Linked DNA regions of Drosophila melanogaster. The protein of the gene in region 3 purifies or fractionates together with the protein of the main gene of each other region. This does not show direct contact. Each region holds a gene or a part of one and is shown on either strand. Other genes may lie near its edges. The genes, in order: Sec16, Tango1 and Sar1.

Evidence for each region.
Region 1: the proteins of Sar1 (region 3) and Sec16 purify together in Drosophila melanogaster (affinity purification with western blotting, with the first as the bait; one study listed by BioGRID). This does not show direct contact.
Region 2: the proteins of Sar1 (region 3) and Tango1 purify together in Drosophila melanogaster (affinity purification with western blotting, with the first as the bait; one study listed by BioGRID). This does not show direct contact.

The regions. Positions count from the first base shown.
Region 1 is NC_004354.4:12,594,078-12,599,142, reverse strand, and holds the start of Sec16 (secretory 16), read right to left. Parts: upstream 3,097-5,065; 5' UTR 2,909-3,096; intron 2,468-2,908; exon of another isoform or gene 2,406-2,467; intron 2,243-2,405; exon of another isoform or gene 2,174-2,242; intron 1,798-2,173; 5' UTR 1,791-1,797; coding exon 1-1,790. Other genes in the region: CG1824 (uncharacterized protein), read left to right, coding at 3,597-3,646, 3,812-4,175, 4,251-5,065.
Region 2 is NT_033779.5:6,647,546-6,655,106, forward strand, and holds Tango1 (transport and golgi organization 1), read left to right. Parts: upstream 1-1,842; 5' UTR 1,843-1,987; coding exon 1,988-2,135; intron 2,136-2,241; coding exon 2,242-4,350; intron 4,351-4,462; coding exon 4,463-4,899; intron 4,900-4,951; coding exon 4,952-5,084; intron 5,085-5,207; coding exon 5,208-5,832; intron 5,833-5,889; coding exon 5,890-5,991; intron 5,992-6,049; coding exon 6,050-6,788; 3' UTR 6,789-7,029; downstream 7,030-7,561. Other genes in the region: CG31633 (uncharacterized protein), read right to left, coding at 7,352-7,468, 7,525-7,561. UniProt on the Drosophila melanogaster protein: Required for protein secretion. May participate in cargo loading by binding to COPII coat subunits and guiding SH3-bound proteins into a growing carrier.
Region 3 is NT_033777.3:22,354,569-22,361,211, reverse strand, and holds Sar1 (Secretion-associated Ras-related 1), read right to left. Parts: upstream 4,528-6,643; 5' UTR 4,414-4,527; exon of another isoform or gene 4,165-4,413; intron 3,696-4,164; exon of another isoform or gene 3,682-3,695; 5' UTR 3,584-3,681; coding exon 3,541-3,583; intron 2,841-3,540; coding exon 2,721-2,840; intron 2,650-2,720; coding exon 2,584-2,649; intron 1,688-2,583; coding exon 1,452-1,687; intron 1,376-1,451; coding exon 1,259-1,375; 3' UTR 501-1,258; downstream 1-500. Other genes in the region: JMJD6 (jumonji domain containing 6), read left to right, coding at 1-143; rdhB (retinol dehydrogenase B), read right to left, coding at 5,087-5,263, 5,385-5,520.

The DNA.
Region 1 (5,065 bases), on a different chromosome or scaffold from region 3:
TTACGCACTTGCTGCTCGCCGTCAGAGGTGTCCTCGCCATCTGCGCGACGTTCTTGCATATGCAGAGCAGCTGCCTGGGCCACATTAAGTGGTGGCTGCTCTGTGGCTCCAGTGACCTGGCGTTGCTGCTGCGAATCCAACTCCGGTTGGCCCAAAACCAGACGAGACAGTCCTGGTGGTGGCAGCAGGCCCGCATCCTGATCCGCTTCACCTTCGCCCAGCTGCTCGGACAGGTGGCTGGTCTGCAAGTACTGGGCCCGTTCGTCATTTGGCGCGGACAAAACCTCCTGATTGTCCGGTTCCAAATGCGCAAAAGCCTGTGGAACAGCCGGTGATGCATAGAGCGATGCGTTAGGTACAGGAATGGGTGCAGGAATAGGTGCACTTAGTGGAGTTCCAAGTGAAGCCTCAACAGGTGGCGCCGCAATTAAGTTGAAACCCTCTCCATGAGCTTCTGCTGGCATACCAAAGAGCTGATCTGCTGGTGGCGGAATTGGTGCTACTGGTGCCACAGGAGCAATTGCAGCAGCAGGAGCTGGAGGCGATGGAGCTCCTGCTGCAGGATCTGCCATTATGTTCACTCGCTTATTTAGGCCCGTGGAACGCTTGAAGGGATTGGAACCAGACGATGGAACTATGCTAGGTGGCAGTGCGGCCGGTGGTGCAATAGTTGTAGCGTCCGCTGGCGGTGCTCCTACTGGTGGTGCTCCCACTGGTGGTGCTCCTACTCCAATGATGGGTGCTGGAGAAGCTCCTACTAAAGCGGAAGGTGCTGGCGAAGCTCCTACTCCTGCAAGATGTGCTGGTGGAGCTCCTATACCGGCGAGATGTGCTGGCGGAGCTACTACTCCAGTGGGAGGTGCTGGTGAAGCTCCTACTCCTGCGCTATGTGCTGAAGATGCTCCAACAGCATAGATTGGCGATCCCACAGCAGTCATTTGTGCAGAGAAGGAAGTCAGTGATGTTGGTGGTGGTGCTGCAGTTGGTGGTTGGTTTTGGAAAGCCTGGGGAGGCACAATGGCATCCAGTTCGGGTTCCTGCCCCAGTTCCGGCGGCGATTGTGGCTGCTGGTGCAGCAAAGGTATCGATTGCTGATTCAATGGCTGTTGTTGCAAGGACGTTGACTGCGGATTGGCTGGTGGCGGCAACTCTCCATTGTTATTGACATTATTGCTAGTGGCAAACGCCTGCCAACTGCCTTGCGAGGATTGAACATTGAAGGAATCCTCCAGCAGTTGTCCGGTTGGCTCTAACAAGCCATCGGTGCCGTTGCTATTATTGTTGTTGCTATTGTCGTTCCAATCGCCCCAATCACCCCAGCCATCGCTCCGGCCGCCACCACCACCTCCTCCGCTATTATTGTTGTCAAACGAGTCCAGAGCTGGTTCCGCTGGAGCCGGGACTTGTGGCTGCTGCTGAGTGGGATAATACAGTTGCTGCTGGATTGTATGTTGCTGCTGCGTAGGCTGTTGCTGCTGTGGTGGCAGTTGCTGCTGCGGTGGCAGTTGCTGCTGCTGCATAGGATGTTGCTGCTGCTGTCCCGGAAAGTAGTTATTGTAGTTCAGGGATTGTGGCTGCTGCTGCTGTTGATGCTGATCCTCTGGCCAATAATTTGGCTGATGTTGCTGGAACATTTGGCTGGCATAGACTTGCTGCTGCTGCTGCTGGGCAGGAAGAGTTTGCTGCTGTTGGGGCATTGCATGTTGCTGCTGTGGAGTAGGATGTTGCTGCGGCGCCTGTTGCTGCTGCTGCTGATGCGGTGGCAGCCAGGGCGCATTATTGTGCAACATTTTGGATCTGAACAAAGAAAAACAAAAGGATGTCAACTTTTTAACTCAAAAATGAATGCCTACTTATTTCTACAGAAATCACGTTAATATCCTGGTAAATCGTCAATTTAAATATCTTTTTAAGGTGTTTTCAGGTCCCTAGAGATATCTTTACCCGCAATTTGAACAGGCTTATTTTCCAAAAGAGATATTCAACCGAAAAAAGGGTTTAAAGGTATGGTATGGTAACGAAAAAACTTAATATTAAAGTGTTCGTTTCTTCGCCCAAGATATTTAAAAGGTTTCTAGGTGTTATAAGGAGTTTTCCGGGGAGATTGCAGGGGGTGGTTGCTGGATTTTGTGGGGCAGTTCAATGAACCAAACCAGTTTTGATGGAAAATTACCCGTTTTCTTGGATTTTCCTTAATGACACTTGGAAACCGTGAAGAGTGATGGAAAATACGCAATCGAATACTGAACAAAATAGAATTTAGGGTATATTATAGAGCTCACAATGAGCGGAAAAGCAAAAGTTAAAAGTTTACGTGGACGTTTGCCATATTTTGCCCCTTCTCCCTCCCACACTCTTCTGGTCTTCTTCTTCGTTTTGTTACCACCGTTTCATTGCTCTCTTACTTTTGTTGTTGTTCTCTTGACGCAGCAGGTTTTTTGTTTTACCTATTTTTTAAGCCGCTGATAATTTGTGCAGTTGATTTTTCGAATCTGACCTTAAATATACTTTTTTCATTTCTTTTTTTTTTATTTTTAAATGTTTTTTTTACCACTTCGCAAGTCAAAAGTGAAAACACTCTCTTGAAAAAAAAAATTGGAGCAGCGGTGAGGGAGAGAAAGAGACAGCACTCTTTTTTCTTTCTCTTGGCGAAAAAGAACCATACGCAGGGTTGCAATCCGGTGTTTTTTTGCGAATTTTGAGCACACAATCGCTTTTACTAGCCACAATAAACTAAAGAAAACACTTTTCAGGTGGCTTTGTCAATTATCTTTTATAAAAATAAAACACAGCCTAATATTACGAGAGAGAGAGAGTAAACACACATTCGCAGGCAGGTAGGTTGCACAAACACACATACAGCTCTCCTTTTTCTCTTCTAATTAGCTTACGCTGCACACTGACTTACACAAATCGCTTGTTTATTTACACGCACTCGGTACGGCACTTTTTTCGGCTGTACTTAACTAAAAATATTATACAAGTTACTGGTTTGCTGACGTTCTTGGGAGTTAAACAATTAAATATGAAATTTTTTCAATCCGAACGCAGCAATGAAATCAAATGCCAACTCGACTTTCGTGGTGTTGCCAGACTGCCAGCAGATAGAGATGACACTAAACAGTTGGATTGGTGTGACAGGACAGTGGTCACTTAAAAAATCATATATTCCTACATTTTAAATATTTTGTATTAATATAAATGTATAAATCTTTTCAATCGATAAATCAATTAAACAAATTAAATCAATTCCACATTTCTTGCTCGTATCCTATAAAACTTATAATTTTTTGCTGCATTGGAAACTAGACTTCGATACTCATTTAAAGTAATAAATGGACAAATGCAAGTTTTTAAAATAAGTCTATTTTTTCTGTTGGTTTTTATTATTGATCTTCAGACTTTTCATGTAGAATCATTATTAAAAGGGGATTCAAAATATTGAACAGGAAAATATCAGCAATGCCCCTTTAACGACTCGCCGAACAATCGATAGCTTACAGTTGCCCATCGCTAGCCATGCCTGTGCGTCTATCGCCAGGTGATGCGTTAACGCTTGCGTATTTTGTTGATATTTGCAAGCCACGCGAGAAGAGATGCTGCGCCTACTCGTGTCCAATTGCGGCAGGAGCAGCGACATATTTAGGTAGAGTAGGGGTCACCATCGCGGGCGAGGTTCTGGGCCGCCGACGCACGAGGATCTGCTACGGCCAGCAGTGAATTGGGGAAACAACGACTCCCCCTCGCCCTCACTCCGGTTATGTCATCAATCAGCCAACCTATTATTAACCGCCTATTTCGCTTTGTTTAGTCGCCACCTGCTGCAGCCCACGCAGCAGCCACTGCCACGCCTCCAGAATGCCGCCCGCCTGATGCGCCAACATTTGCGTGGAACGAACGCTCCCCAACCGCCCGCGATACCGCCCACAAATGCCAGCCGCCTGCTGCAGACGACACGCCTGCTTGTGTGGGGCGGTGGTAGTTTAGCTATCGGTCTGGGCGCCCGTTCCTGGTGGGCGGGGCATCGCGGAGCGATCGTTCATTGCGAAGGCAGCCGGCTGGCCATTCGAAAGGAGGAGGAGGAGGAGGACACTGCGTCGGAGCAGCACTTCGACTGGAAGCGTTTGTGGACCTACTTGGAGCCACATCTCTGGGAGCTGATCGGGGCCGTATGCGTGAGTTCTTGGATCACAAAAAGCCCACGAACAGGTGTAGCATTTGTCAAAATATTTAGCTAATTTCATTTGCAGGCCGCCCTGATAGTGGCTTATATCAACATACGCATCCCAAATCTTCTCGGTGACCTGGTAAACACACTGGCCAGATATGCCAACACGTACGTGATGGATCCGATTAACAACTCGTTCGTAAAGGACGTGAGCAAACCGGCCAGCAATCTGCTGAGCCTATACATGCTGCAATCTGGTTTCACCTTTATGTACATCTACCTGTTGAGCCGCGTCGGTGAGCAGATGGCAGCCAAGATGCGGCAGGATCTGTTCACGCAGATTGTCGTCCAGGACATCGCATTCTTCGATGAGAATCGAACGGGCGAGCTGGTCAATCGACTAACCGCCGATGTACAGGACTTCAAGACCTCGTTCAAGCAGTTCGTCTCCCAGGGACTGCGAAGTGCTGCCCAGCTGATTGGCGGCAGTATATCGCTCTTCATGATTTCACCGCACATGGCCGCCATTGCGCTGGCCAGCGTTCCGTGCGTGGTTATGTTCATGACGTATTTGGGCAAGAAACTGCGCTCTCTAAGCAAAAGCTCACAGGCGCAGGCGGAACGAGCGACGGGTGTCTGCGAGGAGGCGCTGTCCAACATCCGAACGGTTAGATCCAGTGCCTGTGAATACCGCGAGATGCAGCTGTTCGAGGCGGAGACCAATGAGGCGGCTCGCCTGGCGCAGAAACTCGGCTACGGCATCGCAATCTTCCAGGGCCTGACCAACTTCTTCCTCAATACACTAGTCCTATCTACGCTCTTTATGGGCGGCCACCTCATGTCTACGGAGAGTCTGTCGCCGGGTGCTCTGATGGCCTTCCTGGTCGCTTCGCAGGG
Region 2 (7,561 bases), on a different chromosome or scaffold from region 3:
TCCCCTCTGCACTTTTCGCATTTTTGTTTACGTGCCTCTGCAAGTGTGGGTGTGTGTGCGGCTGTACTGCGTGCAAGTGTGAGTGTGTATTTTTGTGGGAATAACACGCGCCCTGTTGCATGCAAAACTCAAATTAAAAGGCAAATTGCAATTGGTAATTACACAGGCAGTCGAAAGGGACAAACAATTGCACGCTCTTACTGCTCACTTTTCCTCGAATTTTGTTTTAGAATAAATACACAAATTACGTCACGCATGTCGGAGGACTACTGAGTTGTTAATGTTTTTTGCGAAGTTTTTCTTTGATTTCCGTGTTTCTTTTGCTCTCCACTTTTATCAGTTTCGGTCAAGATATTTGTATTTGATTTTACGCACCAAGGCTTGGCGCACTTTGTTTCCACGCACCCAAATCTCTTCTTTTTTTTGTTATACAACTTTTGGCGAAGGATTACTCTTTGTGCAGCCAATCAGTTTATGTGGCGTTTTATAGGGCATTTAACAGAACCGCGCTCCATTCAGCATAGCGTGCAGCTATCGACCATTAGGCATCCGCGACCCAACAACAACCGATCACAAAGACGTTGAAAATGCGAAAGATAGAAATAGAAACTGAGTTGCGCATTTTCATGCTGTGTCCAACGGGCGGTGTTGCCAGACTGCCCGCACGCAGGTTTGTGATAAAGGACTGTTTATGCTAAGTTAGAATTCTTGAATTTCATGAAATTACGAATTACGATCGAAATACGTTAACACCAATAATTTCAAAACAAGCATATTCTGAAGCAAGACCGTTTTTCCAATAACTGGACATTGATTATTATAATTAATAAAAGTGATTGAATTAAAACTGAGCTAAAAATAATAGCCCTATTATAGTTTTAGTTCTTTAAAAATTTTTTGAATTGGCGACGTGTAAGCCATTTTAAACTCTGCCGACGATCTGGCAACCCCTCCACGTGTGCTCTTTTCACGCACCCTCTCGCTCACACTCCCTTAAATCGCAAGCAACATACAACATCAAAACAATAAGTTTCTGTACACATGCTCCCGGATTTTCACTTAAATTAGCATCTTAATTATAAACTGCACAAGTTATTGGTTTTAAGGCTACATTATCGGGCATATCACACAAAGTTATCCGCTGCTCTCTTAATCGCTCTCTGAATTCCACAATATGATGTCAGAGGAAACCTTTTTCCGTACACTTCGTAAGGTAATAATAAATTGGAATCCAATACGCCAGCTTTCACTGAGTACTTTGTTGGACACCGGCGACTTTTTTCTAAAAAGCTAGCCCAAATTTTGCGCGTTACATTTTCGGGTGAAGTGCATAAAGGAAAAAAAAAACAAACTTCAATTTTCAAGGTCACTGCTGAAGTTTTCCAGCCACACACACGCACATAGTCCTGTCGTTTGCCACCCACTGCAGCACTCAGAGCGTTCCGAAACCGAGCATTAGGATTATTCAAAGTGAAGAGGCTTACTTCGCACTCAAATTTAGTTACTGGGTTTACAAAATTTCCTCCGATGGAGCCGCGAAACTGGCGAAACAATTTACGAGCTCTGGCCAGTGTTACCAACTGCTCCAAGTTCTCTATATCTGAGTTATTTCGCACAACGCTATCTGGCGCGCATAGTATATGGCATTCGCACTGAGTCGAAAAAGATAGCAGATACTGTGAACTAGAATTCAGATAACTTAAACAGAATGTATTTAAAACATATAAATTTCAAAGGCCATTAAATACAGCAATAAGATTTGATAATAAATCATATCTGTGGAATAGTTGAAACAGACCCGAAATGCCCCTTTCCTATTTCGGTATTTTTCTGAGGCCACACAGCATTCCTTGGCGCACCCAGTACGGTCACACGAATGAAAAGCCAACTCAGCTGAAAGTGAACCCATTTTTATACACAAAAAATTAGTAGCTGCAGCGAAATAAGTTGATTTCACACGACCACTGCGCCCCGAAAACAATGCAAAATGCGGCTGACCAACGAGAAAGCAACAATGCAGCCCCAGCTGAGTGATTTGGCCCTGGTCCTGGGCCTGTTGATCTGCTGTCTTCCAACTTTGACGTGGGCTGCGACTCTCTCCGACAAGCGACTGTGCGCCGACCCGAAATGTGAACGTAAGTTGTAATCTATGGCCAGACAAGTCAGCCTTGGACCTCCGGCACAGCCATGTCTCTTAAAATTGCATAATTAATTTTGCGTTTGTCTGGTTTATGCTTGCAGAAATCATTTCGATGGGCATTGCCAAAATCACCTACGCCATTGGTGGTGAGGGGCTGATATCCTTCAAAATCAACTCCCCCATCCGCGTCCTGTCCAAGAGCGCCGGTTCCAATATGCAACTGTGGGGTGTGGACATCAATGGGCGGCGCGGCTATGCCAATAAGGACTTTATCATGGAAAAGAAGATCCTCGTCCGGGATAAGGATCTATTGTACGAGGTGCCAGTGGTGGGACCTGGTAGTCCAGTGCAGTCAGTGGAGACACCAGTTCAGAGCGTCGAGACGACAGTGCAGCCTGTTCTTAACGCCTCTGAGTCAACCGATGATCTGGCAACGACTACAACGTCACCACTTGAGATAGCCGTTGATTCAATAGTGGTTGAGCACGACAAGCTGCAGGATCAGCAGGTTCCTGATCCTACTGCGGCTTCCAAGGCCCAAGTGCAGGTTATAGAAGGAACTGAGCTTCCCCTGGAGGCCATTGCAGCTACAACGGAAGGTAGCATTGTTCCAGAGACGGCAGCAGACCCCCAAGAAGCAACAAATCTCGACTCGACAGTTGTTGATACGAAAGAGCCACAGGCATTAAATTCGGAGGCCATTAAATTGCAGGAAGAGCCAAAAGCACAGCAACCTGCCACAGAAGCTGAGAAACCTCCCCCACTGCCCCAGGCTATCAACGCTGAACTGGAAGACGCTGACGATTTCGATTACGGGGATGACGAGACAGATGACGACTCCCAACAAGGTAGTCAAGATAACGAATCGATCGTAGAGATAGCAAACGATAACAAATCAATTAACGAATCGATTGAACTGAAACCACTTTCGGTCGCGCAACTGAAGAAAACAGATAAAGTGGAGGATTCAAAGGATGAGACTAAAGAAAAGCATGCAGAAATGGAAGTCTCCAAGCAGGAAGATTCTTCCTTACCCACTGAGACCTTAAATGTGACGGCACTCGAAGAGCAAATTGATCAGAAGGAATTTCCGAAGCAGGTACTGGATGCAGCCGTGGAATTAAAGTCGTCAGATCCTCTGCCAGTTGAGGAGGTCACCGAAACTGTGGCTGAGCCACCACGAACGATTGTCGAAGATAAAATTAATGAAGAAATAGTTCCGGTTTCAGCTAAAATCCAAGCAAAGCCTGCAACAGTTAACCCTACCGAACCTATTGTTGCTCAATCTGATGCGGAAATAAAAGCGCCATCTGAGTCAGTAATCAGTTCAACCACTCCCGCTCCTGTCGTTGAAGAGGCACCACAGAAAGCAGATCCTGTTGGTCTGCCGCCCCTCTTTGAAAAGAAGAACTTTGAGAATCCCAATAATTATTACAAGCAATTGCAGGAGGAACAGGAAAAACAGAGACTAGTTGCAGAGGCGGAGGAGCAAAAGCGTTTACAAGAGGAAGCGGATCAGCAGAAGAGGTTGCAAGAGGAAGCTGCGCTGAATAAAAGGTTACTCGAAGAAGCCGAGCAACAGAAAAGGTTACAAGAGGAAGCGGAGCAGCAGAAGAGATTGCAAGAGGAAGCTGAGCTGAATAAAAGGTTACTCGAAGAAGCCGAGAAACAGAAAAGGTTACACGAAGAATCAGAGCAGCTGCAGCGCTCAAGTGAGGAAGCGGAGCCACAACTGAGCGTTCAGGAAGCCAACATGCAGCAGCTTAATGACTCTGTGGATTCGCAGTCCAACGAAATCGTTGATAACAACAATAGGCAGCAGCCAGAGCAATATCAGCAGCACCATCATCATACAGAAAGTGCCTTTAATCATCCATCGACTGCATCACATACAACTCCAACGCCTGACGCCGAATCACCGTACGCAGCAGTCCAGGAGGAGACCACAGAAGCATCCCAAACGGATAACCATCGTGAGGGAGTTGGTTACGTGGAGCCTGTAGCTCTGCCAGCGACGGCTAGCCCCGTGTCGGAAGTACCTATCAAGGAGGACGCCGCAGGCTTTGGTCTCTTTGCCACAATTGTCGACACCGTAAACAATTTTATCGGAAAGGATCCTCAGAGTGATCCAGCAGATAGCAGCGATGAATTGCATAGAATCCTCTATCCAGGAAGGCCTGAAGTGCCACCTTCTCAAAGGAAGGCGGAAGGTGATGCTTATTCATTTACTAAATCATTATTACCATACGATTCTTCAGAAATTAGAGAGAATATCCGGTCCGGTTTTGTTACATACTATACCTTTTTTTTTACATATTCCAGACTTTGCTCCTGCCGATGTGGATGGATATTGTGCCCGGTTTCAAGCCAAAGATGAGCACTGTCATCGCTCTATATCTCTTGATAATTTTGTTGAAGTAATGGCCGACAAGCTGGTTGACCACAGCCAACTTTTACTTTGCGTGGTTATCGCCGCGATTTCTTCCTTGTTCTTCATGTTTGCATACTACTGCTTCTGCAATAGTAGTCAGGAGGGAGCGCTTCTTTCGAAGCTGAACCATTTGGAGCGCAGTCTGTTGGCCTCCCACAAGGAGAACCTGATCATCAAACACGACCTGATGACTACGCGAACAAAGTTGGCCAGCATTGAGGACAATTCCTTCGGCTCAAACGACATGGTGGCCGATCTCAAGAAGCAACTTGAATCTGAGCTGTACGAGAAGGCTAAGCTGCAGGAACAGGTTGGCTCATTAGAAAGGGTAGGTCCATATTATTTAATCAAATAAACGCTTACAAGGATCTCTTTACAAGGATCTGGATAACGCGGCTGAGGCTGGCCTGGAGCTCAACAAGATGCTGTCCGAAGTCCTTAACGGTCAGAATGGCGATGAGGCTTTCATGAGCACCGTCGACGAACTGCAGCGACAGCTTAATGACCAAGAAAGTGAGGAACCGCCGTTGATTAATACTTATACTAATGTGACTTTTTGATGACTACTTATTTAACCATTTAGTATCCAAAGCAGTTTCCTGTTCAATGCAGATTCTAACTCCATAACTTTTGCAGAGATCATCATCGAAATCAACAACAGTCTGGCCGAGAAAAGTAGGGAGAACAGCGAACTGCAGTATACGTTTACGGAGGCCACGACTCGGCTCAACAGCGAGCTGAAGACGCTACAAGAGGACAACTACGAGTTGGAGATGGAGAAGTCTAAGCTGCAAACTCGTCTTCAGGAAATTCAGGCTGAAACGGAATCGGAATTGGCCAAGGCACTGGAAGCCAGAAATTACGAAATGCAAAAGCTGCAGAATCAGATTGTTGAGCTGACTGTCAAGTGGGAGCGCGAACATGGCGATCTGCAGACCAGTCTAGCAAAGATCGAAGCTCTCGAAGATTGCCTGAAGGCAGTCGGAAAGGATGCGATCCACAATGTCCAAGAGCTGATTACCTCGGCCAAGACACGCGGTGAACTCAACGCGGTCCATAAGAAGCTGGTCGAGTTGCAGTCGAAGGTGGAGCAAGAAGAGGCCCACAAGCAACGTCTGGAGAGTCAGCTGCAGCAGTCAAGTCAAGATGTGGAGCAGCTGAAGCAGGACTTCAACCAATCAGAGCGCGATAAGCTAGAAGCCCAGACGCGTCTTGAAGTCTTATCCGGCTACTTCAGGGAGAAGGAGAACGATCTTAAGAAGTAGTTTATCAAGAAACACATTTGAGGAAAGTCTTTATCTCTTAATTACCATTTCAGAGAACTTAGTCTGCAGGAGACCAAGTGGCTGCAGCACCAGGGAGAGAATGCCAGCACAGTTGAGACCCAGACGCTGATGAAGAACGAAATCCAAACTCTGAAGTAAGTCAAAATCGCGCATTATCGCTTTCAAGAAATGTTAAAATCCATTTCGCCTTAGATCTCAGAATGACGAGCTGCGTGCCGAGATCGAGGCCCAGATAGCCTCGCACAAAGCTCAGATGGGCACGCTGGAGAACCGAGCTCATGAGTCCTGGCTGGCAGCGCGCCAGTCGGAGCGCCGTTGCGAAGAAGCGTTGGCCGAAGCTGCCAGCCTGAGGCGTAAGCTGACCACAATGGCCAGCGGCGGAGGAGGAGTAGGCGGAGATCCAGGCGTAATGGAGGCCATCGCCGCCAACGGAACTTCCGTGCTGGGGGCGGAACTGAAAACGGCTCCATCGCCGCTTCCCTTGCCGGGTTCACCACTGCTGAACATGCCAAATCCACTGCCATTCCTGGCGGCACCCTTCTCACCGTTCATGGGTCTGCCGCCGCCATTCCTGCCTCCAACTGGAGCGGGAGGGGCACGTCCTCCGCCCCTGGGACGCATGCGCTCTCCGCCGCCCTCGAGTCGCGGCGATCGGGATCGAGAGCGTTACTCAGACTACAGCGACTACGATGACTACGACGACGATGAGGAGGACGACCGGGGCATGGACCGTCGTCGACGGCACAGCGGCAGCTGGGGTCGCCGGCATCGCGGCTCCTACAGCCACTCGCCGCGCACATATCGCTCGCTATCACCGTCGGACAGTCGGTACAACTACAATGACACGGAGACTGACTTCAGTCCGCCCCCAAGTCCGCCGCCCGTTCCGTCGGGACGCAGCGCGACATCGCGACCCTACAGCGAGGTATGAGGAGCAGGGTGTGCCCGTGCAACCAAGTCCTACCAAGTATATTAGACTCAAAACTAGTTCAAATATATTTATTAATCAACGATTATCGAACGGTGGGATCGGGGCGGGTCGGGACGACCTCTCAAACCGATTCCCCAAAACAGGGATCTCAGGAGAGTTCGTGAACAACTAAGAAAACTCCTGTCTCAGCGGTGAATGATATCCAAGAAAATTGAAACAAATTAAACGCAATGACAAACACAAATCCAATGTGAGCTGTTTTTACTGTGGAATTGAAAAATATTCATTTTCTCTGAACAAACATTTTTAAATAATCAGCATGGCACATTTTTAATATGATATTAATTTCTGAGAGGTAAGATTATGTATTATACATCATTTATTGAAAACTACAAATAATTGAATACACGAACTTAGAACCGGTTTATATTTTTATATTATATTTATATATTATTATCAGCAATCATTTTAATAACCAGCTTATCGACGAAAGACTTATCAATTAAATAGCACAATTTTGGTCCGTTTAGATAATAGTTAACTAAGCTAGTTAACTTAGTGAATCACGACTCGGGGCGTTTAAATTCCAATTCAATACATTCGTCAGGTAATTGTGAATAGCTGCTACTAGTAGCACTGAAGGAAACATTAAGTTTGGGATGTTTAAAGTGCTTCGAAACCTGCGAAAGAGTATGAGTTTTAGGATCAGTACTTTATAAATCAGTTATGTACGCACCAAGTCATCCTTGCCGGTTTTATAAAAATGCATTTTC
Region 3 (6,643 bases):
CGGAGGAGGAGGAGAGCGACGATGGCGGCGATTCCAACACGGACAGCGGCCAGGAGAGTCTGACGGCCAAGAAGAAAAAGAAGCGGCGCATGGCTGGCGGCGGCTCCGGGTCCGGCTCCATGGGCGGATCATCGCGTTCCTGATCCAGGGAGCGGGCCAAGCGCAAGGGCTTGCTCATGCGCCTCTTTCAACGCCAACTGATGCTGCTGAGAGGACTGCCCCGCCGCTGCCGGCTCAGTTAGCACTGAGGTCGCGATCATACTCTGCAGAGTTTTGTGTATTTTTCTACTTGGACCAGCATGTTTGCAGCTCCTGGATCCCGTGCTCGCCCTCATCGAATGCCTGCTCCCTGATTTCAATAGATGCTCCGGACGTGACTCATTAGCGTAAACCCTAAATGCAAATAAATAAATGAATCCAATATGTTTGTACATCGCTGGGTTTCATTCAAGCTCGGCACATAAATCCAATGCAAAACAACAATAGTCACCAATTTATGTATTTTACAAAATTACTTTTCTCCGTTTTATTTAGAATTCTGTCTGCAAACAAAAATGCTTTTTTATATAAATTGCTTTCCCTTTCGTATTGTATAAAAGAAACAAAGTACATCGATGACATGCAACTTAAAATTTTTAGCTAAACTAAGGTGTACCATTTATCGGAGGTCGAATCCTTATAGGGATGTACATAATGTTTTGCGGCCAAAGTAAACTATTTAGGAAATCAATAGCGACATTTACAATTCATAAACTTGAAATAAAGGTAGGTGGCTACATTTTATTGGCGAAACAGCGTTCGTTGAAAGCACATGCTCTTAAATAAATCACCTTTAATTTGCTATAATTTGTTACTCATAATTATTATTAAAAGTTTCCCTTGCGCACTCCGCGCATCCTTCAGCTCCTTACAATGTATCCCGATGTTCCAGATAGAAAAGTTGTCTTCACTTTGATGTTGTGTTCTGTTTTTCCCGCGATTTCTTGTGTGTTACAGATGTACATTGTATGGTTTTCTGTTTTTTTTTTTTTATTATTATGAAATATTTGTAATTGTTTTGTATAAATTAGAAATTGCGCACGCAGCTTCGTTTTGCTTAAGGTCTGACGGTTTGAATTGGGCTGGGTTCACATCCCTTGGGTTCTGTTCTTTCTGCGGTCTCTAATCATTTTTGGAAATTTTGTAGCCAAGTTTTCGGTTTTGAGTGTTGAGTGGTGTTCTTGAAAATATGGTGCTGGTGGTGGTTGCTAATGCTGACTTAATCGATATACTGCGCCAGCCAACGGAAACCCTCGCCGTAGCCCTGTCGCTTCAGCACGGAGCACATGAACAATTCCAGAGGACGGCCGGGCAAATCGGCGCGTGCAACTTTGCCCTGCAAGTCAAATGGATATCAATTATGTAGCAGGAGTAAGGAGGGAGGGAGGGAGGGAGGTGGTTTTGGTGCTCACCTTGCCGGTTGTTAGCTGATACAGTCCGAACACGTTTCTCAGCTCATCCTCGCTAGCCGCGCCGGGCTTATCGATTTTGTTGCCCAATATGAGCACGGGGCAGTTGGACAGCGCCTCATCCGTGAGCAGCGAATCCAGCTCGTTTTTGCTCTCCTGGAAGCGGCCACGGTCCCAGGCGTCTATTAAGAAAACGATGGCGTCCACAGCAGGGAAGTAGTCCTTCCAGACGCGTCGTGCTGCAGAAATAAGTAGATATGTCTCATAAATACAAAAGCAGCAGTTAGTCTTTAGATGGGTTAGTCTTCCGATTTTTGAATCAAGATTTGCAAGGGCACCTTAGTAGTCGCTGCTGTTGACCAACAATCTGTAATTTATATAACATCGCTAGAATAACAAAGCGCAAGTCACTGATATCAGGCACAAATCTGATATCTTTCCGCCGCTAAGAACCTTTCTACTTTAGTGTACCTAGTAGTTCCGAAGCGAAAACGATCGTCACGATGACGAGCTGCCTTAAAATGAGTGCTAGAGCTTCGTTATCAAAACAACTGGATTTCACGATGTTTGATCACTTTTCATAATGTTCATATTTATATACATATATCAACTGCATGTATGCGAGTTTTTCGTTTCTGTTTGTTATCTACATAGAGAATGTTTGCCTTCATAATATTAATAATAAATACGTCGCCTATATGTGCACAGTGGTAAGGAAGATAGTATTTGCGAAAATCAACAAGACACTAATTGCTTTCTAAACATAAATGAACATATTGATTGTATGCAATGGGTTAAATATTCTAGTATTCTGAGGTCTTCATAATCACAGTTGAGATAAGATGATAATTGAGATCTCTGGATGAGCTGCTTGTGACCACTGTGGTGGCATTGCTTCGAGTGTGTGGCGCTGATTGATCGCAACAAATGCTACGAGTGTAAGACGCACTGGCTGTATGGGTGACCTGATGCGCTATATTTCATGCTGATTGTCGTGGATCTGGCGGCTGCGCTTGCTTAGCCCTGCGATATTTGCATACTGGTCTATATTTAGTCGTGGGCACGTACGGAAAATAGCAACGATTTGGATGCACATTCACATTCCCCTGAGCTCTGGTCAAGATTAGGCACTTACCCTGAGTGTGGCCACCCAAGTCGAATGTAGTGAAGCGCATGTTGCCGATGGACAGCTCCTCGGATGCTGCAAGTCAATCATATTAGTTAATTAAAGTCACACACATAACCACTATTTAGTCCATGAAGGAAACTCACTTGGATGCAGTGTGGGCACATGCTGCGCCAGCTTATCATCTTTGAGCATATGCAAGAGTGTGGTTTTGCCAGCATTATCCAGGCCCAGGAACAATAATTTGCCAGACTTTTTCCACAGACCTGAAAACGAGAAAGTGTGTTGAATAGCCTTTTGACTTACGCGTCATCAATTAATATACGCAGCTAAACTAACACTAGTGGCGGCTCACTTGTGTTTGCCCAGCCACAGACAGCCGAATATACATTTGAGGTCGAGACAATAGCTCTTGGACTTCGGGCTAATTATTACCTTTGCTACCCAAAATGTTCGGCTATCATTAACCTGATTAAAGATCAAGCTATAACAAAAATGCGCTTATAACAACTGCTATCAGTTTGGCCTGCACTGTAGAACAGTACTTTTCGTATGGAATAATTTTAACTTTTAGCATTACAAAGCAAATAAAAGTGTAGCAGCCATCTGGAAGCGAGGAAAACCCTATCAAAAATGTCTGCTTAAATAATTGTGGCTGAAGAGTACATGGCTATGCAATCAAAATACCTTTTACAGAAGTGTATATTGTATATGCACCCTAGAGTAATGCATATTCAACGCGCATTTGTTGTGATAGAGAGACCTAATGGAAAGTTATAAGCTTTCGACACCTTATAGACACAGTTTAACCTCTAGATTTCGAGATAATCGCACGTTTAGAGCTATCACCACGACCTCCGCTGTACAGCCGTCGAATTTGGGTTTCTTTTGTGCGGCTGCCTTGTTGGCACTCGTTCAAGAAACGCCGCCCCAAGGCACAAGGTCGGCAATGGCGACGTTGCTTACCCAGGTATCCCAGCACTCCGGTGAACCAGTCCCAGATGAACATCCTGATGGTTTCGTGTGGCTATCGGTTGCGGGTGATTGGCTCCAAGAGCAGCTTGTGTGTGTTTATTGTGGGGGGAAGAGAGCTGCTGGGCTAGACGGCTGCCGGATCGAAAAGAGATATGGCATGGATAATGGGTTAGTGCGCATTTCGACTCAAGTTCAATGTCCAGCCACAGAAACACAATAAGAACAACAGCAGCGGCAGCAACAGCGGCTTGGTGTATAGGAAATCAATTTTACGGCGGCTCAACTTCCGGAACCTTGACACACATACAACAACACGCACACTCGAGCGGCGGGGACCTTGCGGATATAAGGAAGCAAATTCCTCCTGGCGGCGAAACATTCACTTGGGCCCATTATTTAGTTAATTAGGTTAAAACCTGTTCTTTGTCAACTGGGCAGCACTTTCTTTATTTCATTCTTTCTCTGCCTCCTGCCCTCTCGCTCGCTCACTGTCTGTGTGTGTGTGTGAGTGGCACTGGGTGTGCGCGTGTGTGTGCGTGTGCTGCCTGTCTGTGTGCAACTACGTGGTAACATGCATTATATTATACTTTATAATATCATTTCACGTTGGAGCACATTTCGTAATCACACTTTGGACGGCAGGTGCACGCCGATCTAAGCCGCACCCTCGAAAAAAGCATAAAAAGGGCGCAGACATCCGGACTTCCGATTCGAATTCGAATTGAGATTCGGATTTTGCACTACGTGGACGCATTTCGGAATTTAACTGCCCGCGGCTGCGGGTAGCTTGCGTTTGATATGGACTTTTACTTGCGCACTTGCTGTTGCCGCCGCGCGTTCGTATCGGTATTGGCGGCTGGTTACCGTGCGTCTGCTGTGTGTATTAATTGTCAACCTAATTCGCTTTTTCTACCTCACGTTTTTATTGGAGTCAGTTCAGTTTTTTTTAATCATAAGCCCCAGTGTGACCAATAAGCGAAAGCTGTGAAATATCGATGTTTGTTTCGTACCATCGATTTTGGGGGTAGCACGAGTAATCGATGTTTTGGTGGATAACTCTGCTAGAGCGAAGCGAGCCAAATCAAGAGTGGTTGTTGTACTCGCTAGCGATAGCTGTACAGCCCTGGTCTTTTGACTCAATCTGGCAGCCCTACCGCAAGGTGGCAACTCCACTACATGCGCGGGCAATTCCAATTCAAATGAATGAATGTATAAATGCATTCATAATGTTGCCAAACTATTTACACGCATTTAATGTTATATCGATTAGAGAATATGCAAAATATTATAAATGTTTAATTATCGTTTTATTGCATTTTTATGTTATTTGTAATAAGATGTTAATACAGATGTTATCTACAGATAACATCTTAAAGAATATAAAGTGTCGAAACAGTTGCTTGAAATGCAATAATGTAATTTTTTATATTTAAAAATATGTACATTTGTTCTCTTATTACATAGAAGAACATATACAAAATGTACAAATAATATCGTTTTGGGTAAAATGTAATTCTCTTGAAATTCAAACTAAAATTCAATCGACCTTCCGCATCTGCTGCAGGATGATGTCCTCCACCTGGACGCCATCGGGAGTGTTCAGCGCATACAACACGGCCTTGGCCACATCCCTTGCCTGCAGTTTGGGCAGCTCGGCTACCGCCTGCGAGTAAACACTAAGGAAATCCGTGTCTACCATGCCCGGGCAAATGCTCTGCAATGGAGGGATAAAAATGGAGAGGGTAACCAATGAGCAGACGCGTCATGTTTGCCGCATTTCCCGAGGATTAAGATGGAGGATGAGGCGCGCCATGTATGCACTGCATTTAACTTACCGTTAATTTAATATTTAATTTGAGAAAATGTATTTCCTGGCGCACCGTTTGGCAGAGGGCCGTAATTGCATGCTTCGTGGCCGGATAAACGCTGAATAAGGGCACCGGCACTTCCGGAATCCGATGGCCAAGCACGCTGTTGTCAAATGTTGTCCATACACATGTCCAGAGCAGAGCGAAGGAGGAGGCGGAGGAGTAGCATGAGCATCGTCCACATGCCAAGGTATGGCGGTGCGTCGGGGATGGAAAATAAAGACAAAGCGGGGTCACAAACGGCGGGTGTGCGTGGGTAAATAAAGTCAACACAACGGATTTCAAGCACTTAAAACGGCAACAAAAAACAAGTCGCCGTCGAACACCTACGGAAAATGATGGTCAGCAGCTGACGGGACATTTTTGCGTGCATTTTATGCAAACATTGCGTAAACTTCTTTTAATTTTACCCCCACACCTGACGAAAAAGCAAGAAAAGACTTAAAAACTTGTGCTATAATATTTTGATTGAATGCGAAATTTTTGGAAAAATAAGGGAATTATAAGTTACAACTAGTTTTTATATTTGCTACAAGATATTTAATTTAATTAAACTGATATTTTTATGAAGGCATTCATTCGAGTATCCTTTTTTTCGAGTGCATTTGGAAGAGCACGGGGTGGTACTTACGGCTCTGAGCCGGGGGCATTAAATGCAAACAATTGCCAACGTTGCTGCAGATGCTGGGCGGCCGGCATACCCTTGCAGTTTTTAATTAATTAAGTCTTAATATTATTGCACTGACATTAAGCGAAATGCATATGGACGACCGCCCAACTTCCACTGCCCACCTGTCAAGCCCCTTGACACACACACAGACACAGGCCCCCCGAAACGTCACATGCTCATTAGCAACGCCTCGGCTACGTTTCCAGAACGGAATTCTCTTTGACTCGCAACGCCGCCAAATAAATACATTTTCTCATTAATTAACGTTTGCAAAGTTCGAAGTCTCAGTTTCCACTGCCCTTTCCCGCTTTCCTTGCCTGTCCGCATTGCTCAATTGTATTCGATTGCGGACAATACGCTTGTGTCCGCTGCTCATTATGCCGGAAAAATGCGTATGAAAATTCCGGGAAATGCGTATTTACGGTGTGTCTTTAATGCACTTCGATGATGCACTTTCCGATTGCGTGGTAAAAAGTGGTAGGAATGTGGAGGTTACTCGAGAGCATATTAAAATGGTTCGTTAAGGTTTCCCTATGGTAAGTCTACATATCATGTT